5 linked regions of the Xenopus tropicalis genome follow. The protein of the gene in region 4 interacts with the protein of the main gene of each other region in a pairwise test. Links are inferred from orthologs where the notes say so. Each region holds a gene or a part of one and is shown on either strand. Other genes may lie near its edges. The genes, in order: prkaa2, ttc19, ngb, l3mbtl3 and plekhf1.

Region 1 (4,263 bases), on a different chromosome or scaffold from region 4:
TACAACATATTAAAAGTTAATTTAAAGGTTGACAACCCCTTTAAACAGGAGAAAAAGCATCCAATTACTAATTGAGGCATAAATAAATAATTGGGGCATAGGTGAGTAGCCCTGTAACCTGCATTTTACAAAGGCCCGTGTTTGTTGGAAGCCCACAAAGGACTAGGTCTAAAGGTGGCCATACACGCACCAATAATATCGTAATTCGGTGCGTGTATGGTATTTTGGCCGAGTCGACCGATATCGCAGGAAGCTGCTGATATCGGCCGACTCGCCGATCGGACCAGTTTGAAAATTTTGATCGGGCGCCATAGAAGGTGCCTGACCAAAATCTCCCTTCAGCGCTGAATCGGCAGAAGGAGGTAGAAATCCTATTGTTTCTACCTCCTTACCTGCCGATTCAGCCCTGAATGGTGTGTGGCGGATCTGACGATGTTTCGTGCGACCATCGGTCAGATCGCCACGTGTATGGCCAGCTTAAGGCTGCAGGATTTTAGGGGCAGCATGCAACCAAGCCGCATCTATATTGGTTCCGAAGCACTACGGATGTGCAGGAGATTTGATTTAAATCTCTGCTCGCCAATCAAGCTCCCCAGTGCTCTGTTCCCAACAAGGGAAATTTGCGTATGCATGCACAATGGGAAGGGTGGCAGATGTGCCAAGCAGTGACAGGGGCCTAAGGATGCCCACTAAATCTGGGCCTGATTTTACAGGACTCATTTAATACAAGACTTGCTTTCTGGATTCCGCCAGCAGGGCACAGAGTTCAGGTGCCAAACTGCACATGGGTAGTGATCTGTCTCTCTTTGCCTTGGTGAAATATTTATTAAACCATGGAAAAATTTTCAATTTAAAGGCAAAGGGTTGTTTTACCACTGCTTTTTTTCTGCACAAAATACTTTGAAGTCAATGGCTATTTTTTGCTGCTTTTTTTTTTTCTTTTCACACAAAATATCTTCTTTTCTTGCAACATTTTTCTCACGCTTTTTTGCTTCAAACATTTTTGTGACTTTTAACTTTCCACCTAGCCCACATGTAATATTTACTTGTTCTCCAGATGTGCTCCTCCTTCCTATGCCAGAATGGATTGCCAAATTGCCTCTCACTGTATTTTGTTTGTGAGGACCATAGGGCTCCTTCCCTTGTGCCTAGCCTTTCATAAATAAACCCAAACGAATTGAACATGATATGTTATAGTTAGCTCATTTGGACTGCAAAAAAAATAGAAAAGCGAATTTAAATTCGAATCCAAGCGACGTGTGTTTCAGTACCCTGGGCAGCAACTGGTCATTGCTCCTGCGATTTAGGACCTTGCAGGGCTGCCTGCTCTTGCACGGCATGAAGCCACGCCCACTGGGCTGTCCCTGCAACGGGCTCTGTCAGGATCCAGCCTTTGGCACGCACCTGTCATTGCCTGTGCCAGCTGCATTGTGGGTACACAGACGAACAGAATGCAAAGATGGCTGAGAAGCAGAAGCACGATGGACGGGTTAAAATAGGACACTACATCTTGGGTGACACGCTAGGAGTTGGCACCTTCGGAAAAGTGAAAAGCTGAGTATATTCTCCAGAGCTTTGCTATGTATAGATATACTTTCAGCATCATCAGAACCTGTTTGAAAGCAGAACATGATGCTCCTTGAGTAGAAGGTGCAGGGAGATGAACTGATTGAAGTGCATGGATCATGCAAGCACTTTTTATGAGTGTAAGGTACAGAGGGTGAAGCCTACACAGAGTGCAGTGTAACATTACACAGTTAACATGGGCAGCATCTTTGCTTAATGATCTGTTATTCCTGCAGTTTTTTTTTATTCTTGCTGGGTGCTTCCCAAGGGATGCTGCAGGGGTTAGTTTAACCTCTAAAGCCCTACTGTGGGAGTTAAGGTGACATTGAGGGCAGGAGAAAGGGCAGTGGCAGTGTCTTTATTTATGTACTGTATTATAAACAATAAGCAGTGCAAACAGGAATTGTAGTAAAATGTCAGATATGTGTGACTGCCCGAGTCAGCCATTGTGTGTGTGTGTGAGTTGCTGTACACTTCCAGAAGCTGTGCTGGTGCTAGGGATTTAGTAACTGTGCTGCTGGATGGCAGTGTGCCAGTGGAAAATACATTCTCATGGATTGGGAAGGAACTATTTTTCAATTTTTAATAAGAGGCTGATTGGCTGCTTTTCAGCTTATGTGCAAACTGTTCTTGTTGAACCCAGCATCAAGGAATTGTTACTTGTCAGTATAGACAGGGTGAAAACCCGACAAATCTCTTTTTCACTGCCAATTTATTTGCCAGTGTTTTTAAAAAAAAAGTTGTAAAGGCATCTCTTTAGGACATGTACAGGCCACTGTTATACTTACTTACCTATTGCCATGTAGTAGCTGCGCAATTGTTAATACAATAGCAGTCACATGGATTTCCAGTAGATTTCTATTCACTAGGAAAGTTGTAGCATTTTATTTGAACCATATAGCAATCCTGCATTTAAGTCAAGCAGGTCATTAAAAAAAATCTGCACATTAAAAATGATTAAGACATTGCAAAGTGGTAAGAGGAAATCTGTTGTAATCTATTAAAACCCATCAATCTTTAAGGAATATTTTAGTGCCAAGTTACCTTACAACTGGAGGACAGGAGCACCCACAACACTTTCTTTCTTTGGAACCTGATTTTTAAGGCATTGGAAATGTAGTACTTTCAAGTGATTTCAGTCAAATAAGAAGACCTTTCAGAAATTTGGCCTGATTCAGTTTCATGGTAAAAACATATTTAATGCTTTATCTTGTCCAGACTAGAACCCTTGCGGTAGGCAATAAGTTTCTCATTAAGCTAAATATGGCCATTTGTGTCAAAAACCACAGGGGAAACATCAAAGATCAAAACAAGATGCTATATACCTGTTGCAAATGACCATGCACATAACAGTGTATTGGAAGGACCAGTAGAACCCTTAAAGAAGAAGTAAAGGTTCAGTCACTGGGGGGAGCCAAATATTATGCACCCCCAGTGATTGTAATCCTTTACCTGATACCCCAGACCAGTGCTCCTGTTATCAGAAAACTGAACTGGCCAGGCGTACATGCAAGCAAGCGATCCCCTTTTTTCTTCTTTTTTTCTTCAAAAAAGACAGCTTTTTTGTTAAAGGGGTAGTTAATCTTTTAGTATTTTGTAGACAGTGACATTCTGAGACAATATGCAATTTGTCTTCATTTTCCGTTATTTAGCTTTTATTTAGCTCTCCAAACTGGTATTTCAGCAGCTATCTGGTTGCTAGGGTATGATTTTCCCTAGCAACCAGGCAGTGGTTTGCGTGAGAAGCTGTTCTGTACCAGGAGTACTGGCCTGGGGTATCAGGTAAGTGATTACAATGATGGGTGATTACAATCACAGGGGGGCACCCACCCAGTGATTAAACATTTCCTTCTTCAAGGTGAGGATTTAAAAGCATGTTAACAAAATTTAGAAGAGTTTAACAACACAATGGGGCTTATTTACAAAGTATAGCACAGGATGCATGTTGCAAAACTCAAGATGTTAAACCAACATTTTTTTATATCTTTTGCACACTGCCTTGATGCAGGTGTTGGCTCTCCAGAATGGAGTGCAAAGACTTGCATTCCCCCTATGAATAGAGGTCTGTCTGTGTTCTGCAACAGTGTTTTCATGAGGGATGGGCACGAGAGGCATGAAAGCATCCTCTCTGCTGCCCCCTAACTTGCACATCATTCAGATACGAAAGTTAGGGAGATGTGGCAGGCACAAGTTGCAGCAGATCCGTGTACTTAAGGCTTTAATTAGATGTAAGAAATATATCATGCACTTTCATTTCCATATTGCGCTTACTTTGTATATAGTTTGTATGCATAGTTTAAATTCTAGCTATTGCTATAAAGTGCAGAAAATAGAAATCAGTAGTGCAGTAGCATATGCTGATACTGAAATAAATACTGAAAATTATCCATATTGTTGGGAATGCTTAACTGGCAAGATTATAGAAGCTCTTGCAAAGAAAACAAACTTAGTAATAAATCCATTTTTGAATCAACAATTATGCAGGCACTTAGTCCCCCATTCCACACAAGCACAAAGCATCATATATAAATTCATGGATGCTGGTGCACATTACACAATATACTGTATAGTTACCTAAGAACATAGCTTCTCCCAAGGATGCACAACCTGTGAAATGCACTGTGCTCTATTTCTGGCATCCTGGGATTATGTTTTTTGTTTGTATGCATTGCAAAGACACCACTGTCCGGTGTGTGT
Region 2 (3,084 bases), about 54 Mb from region 4:
ACGTCTCTTCCTTTTTTTACTTTTTCTATCCCCTTAATTAACAATGCATGGCGGAGAGCTGTCTGTGTGCAGCACTCTCTTAATCAGGGGTCCCCAACCTTTCTTACTCGTGAGCCACAGTCACATGTAAAAAGACTTCGAGAGCAACACAAGCACCATAAAAGTTCATGGAGGAGCCAAATAAGGGCTAAGATTGGCTATTAGGCAGCCTCTATGCACACTATCCGCTTACAGGAGGCTTTATTTGGTAGTAAATCTTGCTTTTATTCAACCTAAACTTGCCACCAAGTCAGGAATTCAAAAATAACTCCCTGGTTTGGGGGCACTGGGAGCAACATCCAAGGGGTTGGGGAGCAATATGTTGCTCCTGAGGGAAGGGAATCACTGCTCTTAATGGTTGCAGTTATATATCTAAATGGAAGATGCCATATTATTATTATTTTATTTAGACTTAGCTAGACATGTGTAATGCACTTGACTTCATGTTGTGCTAATATATTGCTTTACCTAAGGCAGGTAGGTGTTAGGCTAGTGGCATACATGGAGTTTTCTCTGCTAATGTAAAATGGGCCAATCCACTCCCTTTGGCACAAAAATGTATACAGTGGATCTGGCTTTTGAGAGAAAAATGCTCTGTGAGTGCTATGCCGCCTGCACCATAATGGGACCTCTTGCTGTTGGCGGCCATGTTTGGTTACACACATGCACTTAATTAAAGAGCCTCCCGTCTTGTGCATTACTCACACGCGTGTGATGTCACACTCATTTGCATAACGAGCAAACCGGGACACTATTTGGCCACAAACAGCCTTGTGTGCACTCTTCAAGAGAGTCTAATGCTGTCCGCATAGCCACAATATATCTAATAAAGCTCTGTTCTGTCAGTCACGGAGGTTGTCATTTTGCCTCCATAGCATAGCAAGCCCAGCAAGGTTCCACCTCTGGAGTGACTAAATCAGCAGCTAGTTTTAGCCCCTGTATAGCAAATACATAATAATAAAAAAGTAATAAAAAAAAAATGAAAAGCATGCACAAAATGAATTTTCTGTGCATGTTAGCTATAAACTTATAGGGAAAATCCTATTTACATATAAGGTTTATTATTCCACTTAACTCATACTCCTAAATGTGCAACCTTAGTTAGTGGGAATATAACCATCTAGGGCAGTGATCCCCAACCAGTGGCTCGAGGACAACATGTTGCTCCCCAACCCCTTGGATGTTGCTCCCAGTGGCCTCAAAGCAGGGGCTCATTTTTGAATTCCAAACAGATCCTTCTGTACGCTTCCAGTCCACATAGTGGCTATTAAGTAGCCAATTACAGCTCTTATTGGCACCCCCAGGAACATTTTTTTATACTTGTGCTGCTCCCCAACACTTTATCCATTTAAATGTGACTCATGGGTATAAAAGGTTGGGGGTCCCTGATCTAGGGGCTCTACCATCTGTTATAATGGAGTCTTTCTAAGTAACTGTAAAAAAAAAAAAAGGAATGACAATAGCTTATTTACAGAATTGCCTTCTTAGCGCTGACTGCCAATGTCCATCAGAAAATTGCTTGCAACTTAACAGAAATAGCACTGCCAGCCATAATATAGCATGTTAATTATATGAATGAACATGTTGTGTTCCAACATTTCTGCTCTTATGGAACTAAAATTACAAGTCAGTAAGGGGGAAAATAAAATACTTTACAGTGTGACAGGTTCCGAATAAGATAAGACACTTGTGGCTACATCACATGCTTTGTGTGGACTGATATAATTCCCCACCATGGGAATCTACTGCACATACTGGTCAGACCTGAATATTCTGCAAAGCGCAGGCATGCAACAGTTTGTCAATAGGATAGCACGTGGACTGGTGATTTTACTTCAGTATGGAATTCATTACAATCCGAACAACAGATTATGCCAAATCCAAACCCTTAAAGTCATGTGACATTACAGCACTAAACAATTAAGTGTGGCAATTTTTTGTTCACATGGGACGCAATATTTCCTTTGTTCTCAATTTTGGCTGTTCAAGTCAGGGCTGGGATTCAATTCTGTATTCAGCTGGTAGAAAACAATGTTTTTGGTGCATCCCTATTTTTTCTGTCTTCCAAGCTTATAAAATTCAGCCTGACTAGTTCCACCTCTGCAATGTAATGCCTGAACCCTTGTGTGTTAGTTTGTGTAATTTCTGGACCATACCCTACACCGTTTTTCTGTTTGACATTTAGGGAAAGAACACTTTGCAGAAGCTGAACGCATTTTTAAGGAGGCGCTTGAGCACTCTGAGAAGAAAGGGGACTCTGCTTCTGTACAGTATATTCAAGAAGGTCTGGCTGAACTTGATAGGAGGAAAAAGGGGTAGCTGATCATACTGAAAAGAGAACATTGGTATTAAAGATTTTTGGATTGGAAATGTACTCAGAATACTGTGCTTTGCTGCCATCTTTGTCACTCCGAGCTGTCCAAAGGGGCATCAAAGGTGTGAATGCCACCAGGACTTGTTCATGTATGAAATGTATAACTTATTTGCAAGATACAAACTTTTATGGAGTAAAAGATTTATTTTCAGGAAGCATTTGTGTCCTTTTTAATTTCATTACCTCTAGATGTAAGGCAACTCACCCGCAGCGTGTGCGACGGATCAGGGTGGAAGGCACAAAACCAGGTGGAACGCATGTGAGATGCCGTCACACGCACGCGACTATTCCTGCTCGAGACTAATCTGCTCGCGACAATTTACGTGCGCATCATTACGTTGACGCATGTTACGTTTTGGCACCAAATGCAAACCCTTTAAATAGCCAAAACAGTTAGGCAACAGCGCTCGGTTATCAAGCTCTCTTGTGCCTAGCATCCTGTATCCTATTGACCTGCTGATTTGACCTTCTTGCCTGACCCTTGCCTGTGAATCCTTGCTGCCTGCCAAGACCCGGACTTGTTTGACTATTCTTCTGCCTACTCCTTCGGTACTCCGCTATTCGGCCTTCCAGCCTCTTTCCACTGCTGTGCTTCCTGTCTCACCCTCGGGTAAGCCGCCAGCTAGTGTGAGGTGCTTGTGGGTGAGGATCTCATCTGGCCTGCTCGGCAT
Region 3 (4,299 bases), on a different chromosome or scaffold from region 4:
AAAAAAGGGAAACTACAGAAAAAGGCTCTATTTCTGTTGTGTTATCTAAAAACAATGTAATAATGTTTCTGGATATAGTGCCTCATAGACCTTGTGCATTTATGCATATGCTAATGCTTTTTTTTTTTAATATACATCTTTTAAATAACACTGCTGCAGTATGTTTTGACTGTGTACTTCTAATTAAGGGGTCTATTTATCATGCTGTGTATAAAAATAAATGGTGACCAAGTACAAAACATAATTTACAGCCTTGCTTGTAAAAAAAAAAAGGTGTATAAATTATCATTGTAAAAGTTTTTCGTGTAAAAATCCAGCATTACAGGCAGCACCTGCTTTTAAATGGTGGGTAATAAAACAGCAATCCTCCAGCAAAAAAATTGCCATTTTTACCTCAAAGTTACTTGCCACACAGTCATTACACAAAGCCTCTTTTTAAACTTTTTTTTTATTTGATAAGAGATCTTATGCTGTATAAATATTAATATACGGCTGTTGGCTAAACAGATCTGCAAAGGAAACATTTTGTAATAATTTACTCTTATCCCAACATGTCCTGGAATTGGGATAAAATGAGGTGTAAACAACATTAGACTGCCCTGTGTACATGCCCTAAAGCCCTTATTGCACTTGCTGCTGCTGATAGACTTCTGGTTTCTTAATTTGGTGCTCACTGTGATATTCACACATGACTATTGTGCAATCCAACTGGACTGCAGTCTGGTGCTCCTACCGCCTGCTTTTTCCATGATCTTATATTTGGGGACACCACTTTTATAATTCCTGTGTGCCCTGAGATTGAATGATCAGTTGGAGGCCACTCATATCAGACAATTGTAATTCCACATCTTAGAGATCCAAATGATTCCTTTCACAGGCATTTACACAGAAAAATATTAAAAATCAACTAAACATCATTGTAATAACATATATTTTATGGGCCACATTTTAAGAGGTTATTAGGTTACCAGATAACTTTATAAATCGGGCATGCTTGTAAAAAAATGCAGCCACAGGGGATAAACTGATTGTACTTGATGTGAATGCATTGGCAAACAGTGCAGCCCAGGAAACTGTCTGTTGTCTGTGGACAGACTTGTAGCTTCTTGTTAGGAGCACTGTGACTTTAAATGCAGAAAAGGATGCTGTGACAGGGAGGGGAAAGGAGGGGGCAGGCGATGCAAAGCCAAAGACAGGCAGAGGATGCACAGAGAGAAGGCTGTAGTGACAGGAGATAAAGTGAGGGATGGTATAAATGAGGAAGCAGTGGAAAGGAAAAGACAAGGGCAAAAGATAAAGGAACACATTTTTCCTAGTCTGCTGTTTTGAGACGGTCACACTTCTGGCAAATGTTCCTTTCCTAAGCGTTTAGTGTCCCTGGGCAACTCTGGACCCTGGGCTCTGATAGGTAGGTGCAAAACCACAAAAACAGGTTATAGTGTTACATACAAGAAATAGCAAAGGGGGAAAAGTTAGAAGGAACTCAAGCCTTAGTACCATGGAGAAAGATCAGCTGTCGGGACCCCAAAAAGAACTGATTCGTGAGAGCTGGCAAACAGTAAGCCAGGACCAGCTGCACCATGGAACAGTACTATTTTCCAGGTAAGAGACTGGCAGAGTCAATGACCAGGTGAAACATTTTAGCAAGCACCTGGTAACAGTGACATTTTTCAGTTGAAAAGGTAAGACACAGCAGTATTGGCACAAACTGGTGTCTGTAACTATAAGTGGACTGTATTGGTCATCAGAAGTTCCACGTGAATGTCTGATACGTGTAGTTCACCAAGTAAAATACTGGTACTATGGCATCTGCCAGGTAAGTGCATTTTGCTGGTAAGGACAATGGTGTGACCTGCAGATGAGACACTGACAGCAAGTGTTTTACTTTGTGAGAAACATAATATTGTTGTATTGTAATGACAAGTTACAGTGATATGCACATAATAGGTTGCATAGAATTATAGGGGATTATTAGACTTTGCTGTTCATTTTTGTAATCTTGCATCAGAGTAGTCCAATAAAAGAAATATAACTGAAGAAGAAAATTACATTTATAGGGGAGCCTTGCAAAGCTATATAACTGATGGCAGGTTAGGGCTACTGGATGACTTGAAAATTAAGGGACATATCTAGAAAATCTAGCTGTGCTGGTTACAATATAATTTAAAGGCAATTGGTGCATCCCTAAAATGTGCATTTATTTGAGGTGTCCCTACATTTTCAAGGGTGAGAAACTGGCATGTTCAGAGAATATATATATTTTTTCTCTCTCTCTCTCTCTCTCTCTCTCTCTCTCTCTCTCTCTCTCTCTCTCTCTCTCCATATATACATATATACATATAATATATGAATGACACAAGACAATTTTAATGTTTATTAGTTATATAGTAATCAGTACTACGATCTGGCATGATGTGCAAACAAAAATGACAACATTGTGACAATAAATAATAGAATCTGGGGTTATCAGATATTTATAAAAAATGGTATTTATGGAAAAGCATGGTGGGATTATTTTATATCAGACCACAAAACATATGTTTTGCATCTTAACTCTGGCATTTTTATCTGTAAGCGTGCATATTCTTGTGCTCTAGCTTTCTACATGAGAACTGCAGCTCTTCTCCTCTCTGATAACCTTCCCTCACATCTCTAAGACTTCTCTTCTGCTGGAATTCACTGGCAAGCTCCAGATCAGTTTTCTTACTAAAACACATTTCACTGGCACTGATTCTAGTTTTCTGCTGTCTCACATAAATCTCTAATTATACTGACTGTAGCAACATTCTCAACTGAACTGAATAGATCAATACTAAAACATTTCATATGTTTTAATATTTGTTATTTAAACAAATAACAGTTTTAAACAAATAACAGTGGCTAGTTATATACATGGGTGAGTAGTTAATACTGGAGGCATCCCTTATTTTGAATAAATAAGGTTAAGAGAAATGTTGGACTTTATTACAGATAGATTTTGATGCTGAATTTAGAGGATCAAGTACATGAAAGATCAGTTATAAGACTGATACAGATGCTTTATGGTTGATTAAATTCTGATGGGGTCATGTTAATTGTATGTTTCAAATAAATTAATAAGCCATTCAGACACAAGTCCTTTATAGCAGATTTCAATTATACTGAAATTCAGTGATGTAACATGACTGCCAGCACATCAAAGGGAAGCTAGCTACTTGCTGTCGGCACATTTAATATGCTGAAGAGGTACTCTTTTGGATTGTGTGATCTGCAACATAGGGACTTAAAAAAATGTTTGGAAATCGTGACCATATAACATGTATATTGAATCAAAAATGATAACATTCAAAGGAAGCTGATCATGGTACAAGCATCAATACAATAAAGTAATTGCAATGGCACATTATCAGATAAAATAAAGATATAGATAATTTGGTAACATGCAAGTATGGACATATTTTCATTGATAGGATGGGGTGAATGTTTGTGAGAATGGGGATGCAGAATACATTTTAAAAAGTGATGATGTCGGGGGAAGTCAGGGCAGAAAAAGAACAGTATTCTGAGGAGAATGTGGGTGAGAGTAAAATATAAGGTGTGGCAGAACCCCTTCACTCATCAGACCTGGGGAGCCCAACTTTCTTACCTGTGAGCCACAGTCAAATATAAAAAGACTTAGGGAGGTGCCAAATAAGGGCTATTTGGTAACCTCTATGCAAAAGCTCAGCTTTGAGGAGTACATAGTGTTCTTATTTAAGAAAACTTGCCACCAACCCAAGAATTCAAAAATAAGCACCTGCTTTGAGGCCACAAGGAGTAACTTGTTGCTCACAAGCTGCTGGTTGGGGATCACTGCATCAGTCTATACTAAATACTGTTTCTCTGCCTATAACACCTCCATATTGCATACCAAGGGAGTGAAAAATAAAAGGTTATTAGATATTGGGGTCAGCAAAGATAAGTAAAATAGTGAAAGGCTGGCAGACTAAAGTGGGTGTAAGAAAACGTGATACCATGCCAGGCATCTAGAGATCGGTGGGTAAGGATTGCAAATAGGTTAGCAGATGGTACAAAGCTATGTGGTGGAGTCTATCCAATATGTTTTATCCTTGACCGTGTTTTATCCAGATTTCCTAATAACTTGTTTTACTTATTTTCCTATTCCTAATGGCCTATTATTGACCTGATAGTCTGCTTCTAGCAGCATGTATTTTCACTATTATTAAAATAATGGACAATTTACCTTTATTTTCCCTTATTTGTAATCATGCATGACATATTATTAATAATAGTATTTGTTTGTGTAAGCACACTTATTTG
Region 4 (2,829 bases):
TATCGGGCCCAACCTTACTTACATAACCCAGGGGGTCCCAATGATCTATGTGCTAATAATTGTTGTCACATAGTGAAGGGTCCTGCTAATGATGATATAATTCACTGATCTGTCAAGACTGTCACTATGCTGTATAAACCTACAGACTCACCTCTTGATCTGTGGTTTAGTTTCAGTTTCCTCTTCTAACCACTCAGTTCCCTCCCACGGATTGCTCCGTCCCCAGCGTTCCTCTACTGGAATTGGAGATTTTCTGTATGTAGCAAAAGTTATCATGTGATAATTAGACCACCAATAGCTAAGGCTAGCTTAATAGATCAGTGGCCCTCGTTAATAAACATAGGAAAACACTGAAACCAATGTGACATTTGCTTTCAATAATGGTACCTGATCATAGTTAAAGGGGTAGTTTGCTTTTAAGTTAACTGTTAGTATGTTATAGTCTGTTCTTAGCAACTTTTTAATTGATCTACATTTTTAATTTTTATAGCTTTCAACGGTTTGGCTTTCTCTTCTGACTCTTTCTAGCTTTCAAATGGGGGTCACTGACCCCAGCAGCCTAAAACTATAGCTCTTTGGAGACTACAATTTTATCTTTATTGTTTTGTTTTAAATGTATTAATTATTTTTCTATTTAGGCTCTCATTATTCATATTCCAGTCTCTCTTTTAAAGCACTGCCTGGTTGCTAGGTCAAACTGGACCCCAGCAACCAGATAGCTGCTGAAATTCCAAACTGGAGAGATGCTAAACAAATAATAAGTAAAAAAAATAAGTAATAAGTAAAATAATTAAAAAAAAATGCAAATAATAAGAACGTAGAAAATAATAAAAAATGAACGCCAATAGCAAACTGTCTCAGAACAGCACTCTCTACATTATACTAAAAGTTAATTCAAAGGTGAACAACCTCATTAACATGGAATCAAAACACCACAGCATAATCTAGTTGATAATATAATTTAGGATGAAACGCTACCACCAAATTTCTTTTTTGACTGATAGACTGCCACGGAAACTTCTAACTTTTATATTTTATAGGACATGCTGTTAAAACAAGCCAGACACTCCTCTCAGGATAAACATTGTCTGCACTGCAATAGCAACAGGAATTACTTCCACAAAGAGTAAGGGAAAAATTTTTACTGAGCATTGTGTTTGTCAGATTTCTTACATTGCATAATAATCCATTCTTATTTTAGTTATCAGGGTCATTTTAATGCAATCATAGTATGGAACTCTCTTGCATAACTTCACACTAGCAGAACCTGCAACCACGGGGTGGCCTGGTATTTACCCACATCTCTCTTCAATACATCATTGAATCCAAGCAGGTGGATGGTGAGGAGGTGTGCTGCTTGCTGCTGTGGTAATGCATTGTGGAGAGCACCAAAGATGTTTTTTTCTGATACATAATACTACCTACTTTGTTATTAGTTAGGGCATATATTTGTGTTAATATATGCTCTAACTCTCAGCGTTTATATAGATTTATTATAAATTAGTGGTGTTTAATGTTTGTGTGACCTATAGAGGTGTGCTACATAAAAGCGCCACAATAGCTTTTATGCGCATTCATGTATCTGCATTCCAAATAAACACCTGCAATATGCAACCCATGGTGGCACTCCACATCAATAAAATCACCCTTCGGCGGAGGAGAAAGTACCAAAGTTAGACTTGGAAGACATCATATGTTGCATCGGGCTGCTGTAATCACTGGTAACAAATTAGCAAAAAAAAAAAAAAAGTTTTTCTTATTTGTCGACTGATCATAATAGAACGGTGCATGTCTGTTTTTTAAACAGGGACACTATTTTCATTAAAGATAGCTCATACAAAAACAAAGATTTAAAAACGTTTTAGTTATATCACCTTGATTGGGGGAAGTCACTGGAATCTGTTGTAGGACTAGGTGTCCCTGGCCTACGTGAACGAGTTGCGTTTTGTACTGGTGATGGCCGCTCCCCGCTAAGACGATCCTGTAGCAAATTCTCTCTATTCAGATTAACTTCTGAGTATGGGCAGCCCACAGCACTATGAAAGAGATATAAAAAGTATATTATATGTGACCTTCTGTTCTTTCAGGCTCATGGTGTCGCTCTCACTTACGTGTAATGTGTGCCATATCTGGATCCCCTTACATGCCCAATTCCTGTACAGCCAGCAATGGGACATCCCTGCCCGGCTACAGCAGCCATGTCTGAGGCACCTGATTAAAGAAATGGAGAACTGCATATGTTGAATTCTACCGGAATACCCCAATTTCTCTAATACTAATACAGGGTAATGCAAATTCTAATAATAAGATTCCCCATGTGGTTTAAATATCTTACCAGGAGGCAACTGGAGTGCGTGTCCAGTCTTTGCACACCATCCTACAGGGTGAATATCAGGGCTGTCAACATCCACCCAAAAATCATACAGGGAACTCCATCCATCAAAATGCAACTAGAAGAGAGTTCTATAATTGTCATGGTGCAAATCAAATACATATATACCTAACATATTTTGTTCCCTGTGTTATTATATATATTTATAAAAATATCTGTATTAGAAATCACCTTAATGCGGTTATCATCTTTCTGGACAGTGCTGCAGACTCTGATTAACATAGGATTTCTTTGGTCCACTGCTTCTAGCTTCATTTGTGGCTGATACCCATGAGGGGGGCGCTGTGATGAGAATATAGAAATAAGAAGGAAGAGAAAAGGAGAGAAAATTTAAAAAAAAAAAAATAAAGTGAAAGTCTATAACTGTCCACTTCATACCTGGACATAAGAAGTCCTATTTCTTGGGGAGGAGGCTAAAAGTTGTCTATGTAAATGGG
Region 5 (4,053 bases), on a different chromosome or scaffold from region 4:
TGGCACCCCCAAGTGACTTTGCCTTTCCTTCTCCTTTAAGCACAGAATTACCCAGCACTGGAAGGTTTTTTGCCTTCCTCTGGATCATTTATTAATTCCATGAAGCAGTTATGGCCCCTAGGATCACTTTGGCTCTGTGCAAGCCTAGCCAGGAGGAGTAGTCACAACCCTAGAGCCAGGCTAGAGATATTTTGCACAAGGAAGGGCAGGGAGAGAGAAAAGGTTGGTCCCTCAAGAGCGCTACCCAATCTCTGCCCTACATTGAGCCCACAAAGTGTTTTAGGAGCCACAGCTGGTTTCAGGGAATGCCCCACCATTTTTTTGGCAATTATTAGTAATAAATTCTGTGACCCCCCCCAACAGATTTTTCCATAGACACATCTCTGGGTTTTTTTTCTTGAATCCTTATGGTGAATATTGGAGGGGGTAGGGGAATGGGCTGTAGTGCCTCGTTCTGCTAAAGGTGACTGGCCAATTGTGTGACAGGTAACTAATACCAATGGGCAAGTGCGAGGCAGGGTGGGGTAAAACTGGGTGGCTGTCTTGAAGAGGTTTTTTTTAATCAAACTTTATAAATTACACGCCAAATAGACAGATTTCGGCATGCTCATTAAAAAAGGATTATAAGTGCGCATGTGCACTATGCCAAGAGACAAAATTCTGAAGGGAGGGTGAGAGGGAGTTACAGAGGGAGACAAATCAAGGGATCGCTGCAGCTTCGTTGAAGAACCCGGAGCAGCAAGCATTTAAAGAATGCTGTGAGGCTTTTCACTGATAAAATTTTTGGTTGGGGAGTTGACGTGGCCTTTAAAATAAACTGCAATAACTGGAGTCAACTGCTTGCTGGATTTTTTAGACTTTTTACAGCTGTGGTGTCTGTCCCTAAACAGAGCAAATGTCTTAATAAAACCATAAGTATGCCACATGGCAATTACATAAGTACCGCTTTGTTCCACCCTTGCAAAAACCCTCACGTTCCATAAGGGACATTCCATATCGGAGTGACAGGAATAGCAGACTGAAGCATTACAACAACTACTCAGCCAGCTCCTCTCTCGTCAGCACTTTCGGAGGAAATCAGAAATTCTCTGTTTAGACCTGTTGGCAGCCAGCATAGACACGTGTTTCTCCCCGGGGCGGGGCCTGACTTCTGGGCTGTCTGTGGGCAGCGGAGGCGATAGTCTCATTGCATTCTCATCACGGGATAATAGCCACTGGTGACGGGTGGGTCATGAGGGAACTCTCCCTGCCTGCATTATAAAGGACATAACTTGCTGACAGTAGCGAAATCGTGTGGCAGGGAGCGGCATGGCGTTGCTCTGAGACTTTTCTGCAGAACTTGAAGCTGTAACAGGGAATCGCGTCGCGCTACAGGGAGCGCTCTGCTGGAACGATATATCTAGAGCGCAGGGTAAGCAAAATCACTGCTCTGCTTGCTACTGTCGTTTTGAAAGCAACAGCTGTATGCAATTACTTGTCAAAACAAATGTAATCCCTTGTATGAGACAGGGGGTTCTGTATTGATCACTCGGGCAAAGCAAACCTATTATTGTAGGGCAAGCAGTATGTTAGCTCCCTCCAATATTCCCAAATAAGAAAAGATTTGCAGTATTCTCCCTCGAACCTGTTATAGCAGATTTTGTTATATGGCCTAGCTTGTAAAACATTTCCTGCTAATTGATGCATAGTGATCTAAGCAGTAAACTGTAACTTGTATATACTGTAGATTGTAGGACATTCTTCTAACAAATATTTGTACAGCATGTTCTTAACAGTCAGTGCTCTGTCATTTCAACTGTTTGGACATGTCCGCTTCTCATATTCTGTCAGTTCTGGAGCTAGGCTTTCCCGCAGCCATGTCGGTAGCGCAGCAGTTAGTAATGCACTCTTTTGTGGCCACACCACCAAAATACCACAATAAGCACTTCATTATGGCGCTGAAGCATTTCACGACAGGCACAGTTCCATCAAGCTCCCCATCTTTTGTCTCCAGGCAGCAGTGCTTTTTATAATGTGATTGTAGAGGAATGACATCAGAGTCAAATCTTGCAAGACTTTTCCATCATAGACAGCGGAGGGGCAACTGGGAACCGCAAGCTGGATGACAAAAATCAGGGCTGTCAAAGTGGGAAAGTAGCGAGGTTATCACAGAAGAGGCATATTCAGAATATTGCATTAACCCTAGACATGATATACATATGGCTGTGCTTGACTATAACTCTCAGAAACCCTAAGAGTTATAGTTTAACAACCACAAATGCCGGCCATCCACATCACATTACAAAGTAGTAGTATAATCACATACCAGATGCACCAGGAAGAAGCTTGTAGTACATACAGGCTGGGACTTAGAGGCTAGAATTTCTATAAAAGTACAGGAATTCCAAAGTATATACCCACCTAGACTTCAAAAACTAGCCCACATCTATACCTAGGCAGATTAGTACTTTGGAAACCTGCCACAGCTTTAAAATAGTACCCCAGGTAGGCAGAAAAAATGCCAACCTGGCAACCTTGATCTCATACCTACAGTCCTGATGGAATGGATGAAGGAGGTCTGAGCACCAATGGAGGAAGAGAGGATAAAGAAGGGATAACCACAGAGGGAGAAGGGCTTAGGAGCGCTGTGTACAGATGACATGAATGTCCGGTCAGCTGCGAACTTTTATTGGTGTATTGCACACTTTAGAAGCATCAAAAGGCAGTGGTAATAGAGAGCCTTACATTATGGGGCATATTTATTATGCTGTGTAAAAACGGCAAGAAAATTCACCACACATTGGCAGGCTTCGCCGTGTATAAAACGGCATAATTTTTTACGCGTTTTTTCTTCCACCGGAACTTATGGAAAGTAACGGCGTAATATCCGGCGTTCAGACGGCGATCTTTTCCATTTATTTTACACAGCTTTTTACTCCGTTTTTTCGGCGAATTAGTTTTACACAGCATAATAAATATGCCCCCAAATGTTAACAGCAGGTGCCTCTGCAAACTGCTGTTTTGGGTAACAAACTGTTGATTCGTTTTGATCTCAGTGCAAAATAGGTAACATTCAGCACAATATAGATTAAAGTGGAACCCATAACCATAGAATCTATGGTGTTGGCACTTTTGATACTGTTGATACTTTTATGGAAAAAAAAGTCAGCTTCTCTCCATAATAAAAGAAGTGACTGCAAAATGAGAAACATTGATGTACAGTTCTGTAACCTGAGTTAAGTCTAAATGCCAAACTGGAAATATCAGTTCCTGATTCTTTTAGAAACATCTGATGGACGTTTCTTTTAAAGGTAAACAGTCACAACAAAGGGGTGAAGGTAATGGTATATTCTAATTTTAAATTATAAATAGGCAGAATTTACTTTCAGAGTAAGTTCTAGTCATTATGCTGAAAAAAGATGTACACTACCAATGTGACGCTAAGTAATAATCACTATTACGTAAAAGAAAGAAGCAGCATAGAACAAAAAAAGCTTTGGCTCTAGGAGGATTTTATTTTATATGGTGATGCCCAAAGTATGGATTAGGATTAGAAAAAAAGTCTTCACAAAAGGAAATGGAGGTAATATAAAAAAGGGAGAAAAACTGATGTTTTGTTACCTAGTGGTTCACCTTTATGTTAACTTTTAGTATGTTATATAAAGTCCTATTTCTAGCAACTTTGCAACTGGTCTTCATTTTTTAATTTTTATAATTTTCAAATGATCTGCCTTCCACTTCTACATCTTTTCAGCTTTCAAATGGGGGTCACTGACCCCAGCAGCCAAAATCCTTTGTTTTGTGATCTTACAATTTATTATTATTGTTACTTTTTATTACTTATCTTTCTATTCAGTCCCTCTCCTAGTTATATTTCAGTCTTTCATTTACACCACTGCCTGGTTGCTAAGGTAAGCAAGACCCTAGAAACCAGATAGTGGCTGAAAATCCAAATTGTAGAGCTGATGAACAAAAAGCTAAAAAACACAAAAAATGAAAACCAACTGCAAATTGTGTCAGAATATCATTGTCTGCATCATACTAAAAGTTCATTTTAAAGGTGAAAACCCCATT

What was found.
Region 1: the proteins of l3mbtl3 (region 4) and prkaa2 interact in binary tests that used the Homo sapiens proteins (3 or more experiments, as listed by UniProt). The two-hybrid records come from large-scale screens. The link is inferred for Xenopus tropicalis from reciprocal best matches to the Homo sapiens genes L3MBTL3 and PRKAA2.
Region 2: the proteins of l3mbtl3 (region 4) and ttc19 interact in binary tests that used the Homo sapiens proteins (3 or more experiments, as listed by UniProt). The two-hybrid records come from large-scale screens. The link is inferred for Xenopus tropicalis from reciprocal best matches to the Homo sapiens genes L3MBTL3 and TTC19.
Region 3: the proteins of l3mbtl3 (region 4) and ngb interact in binary tests that used the Homo sapiens proteins (3 or more experiments, as listed by UniProt). The two-hybrid records come from large-scale screens. The link is inferred for Xenopus tropicalis from reciprocal best matches to the Homo sapiens genes L3MBTL3 and NGB.
Region 5: the proteins of l3mbtl3 (region 4) and plekhf1 interact in binary tests that used the Homo sapiens proteins (3 or more experiments, as listed by UniProt). The two-hybrid records come from large-scale screens. The link is inferred for Xenopus tropicalis from reciprocal best matches to the Homo sapiens genes L3MBTL3 and PLEKHF1.

Annotation. Positions count from the first base shown.
Region 1 is NC_030680.2:87,584,468-87,588,730, reverse strand, and holds the start of prkaa2 (5'-AMP-activated protein kinase catalytic subunit alpha-2), read left to right. Parts: upstream 1-1,453; 5' UTR 1,454-1,459; coding exon 1,460-1,553; intron 1,554-4,263. UniProt on the Homo sapiens protein: Catalytic subunit of AMP-activated protein kinase (AMPK), an energy sensor protein kinase that plays a key role in regulating cellular energy metabolism.
Region 2 is NC_030678.2:29,750,557-29,753,640, forward strand, and holds the end of ttc19 (tetratricopeptide repeat protein 19, mitochondrial), read left to right. Parts: intron 1-2,224; coding exon 2,225-2,358; 3' UTR 2,359-2,568; downstream 2,569-3,084. UniProt on the Homo sapiens protein: Required for the preservation of the structural and functional integrity of mitochondrial respiratory complex III by allowing the physiological turnover of the Rieske protein UQCRFS1.
Region 3 is NC_030684.2:82,757,755-82,762,053, reverse strand, and holds the start of ngb (neuroglobin), read left to right. Parts: upstream 1-1,498; coding exon 1,499-1,602; intron 1,603-4,299. UniProt on the Homo sapiens protein: Monomeric globin with a bis-histidyl six-coordinate heme-iron atom through which it can bind dioxygen, carbon monoxide and nitric oxide.
Region 4 is NC_030678.2:83,409,742-83,412,570, reverse strand, and holds part of l3mbtl3 (lethal(3)malignant brain tumor-like protein 3), read right to left. Parts: intron 2,675-2,829; coding exon 2,564-2,674; intron 2,451-2,563; coding exon 2,336-2,450; intron 2,212-2,335; coding exon 2,112-2,211; intron 2,037-2,111; coding exon 1,875-2,036; intron 254-1,874; coding exon 152-253; intron 1-151. UniProt on the Homo sapiens protein: Is a negative regulator of Notch target genes expression, required for RBPJ-mediated transcriptional repression. It recruits KDM1A to Notch-responsive elements and promotes KDM1A-mediated H3K4me demethylation.
Region 5 is NC_030680.2:71,403,033-71,407,085, reverse strand, and holds the start of plekhf1 (pleckstrin homology domain-containing family F member 1), read left to right. Parts: upstream 1-1,237; 5' UTR 1,238-1,411; intron 1,412-4,053. UniProt on the Homo sapiens protein: May induce apoptosis through the lysosomal-mitochondrial pathway. Translocates to the lysosome initiating the permeabilization of lysosomal membrane (LMP) and resulting in the release of CTSD and CTSL to the cytoplasm.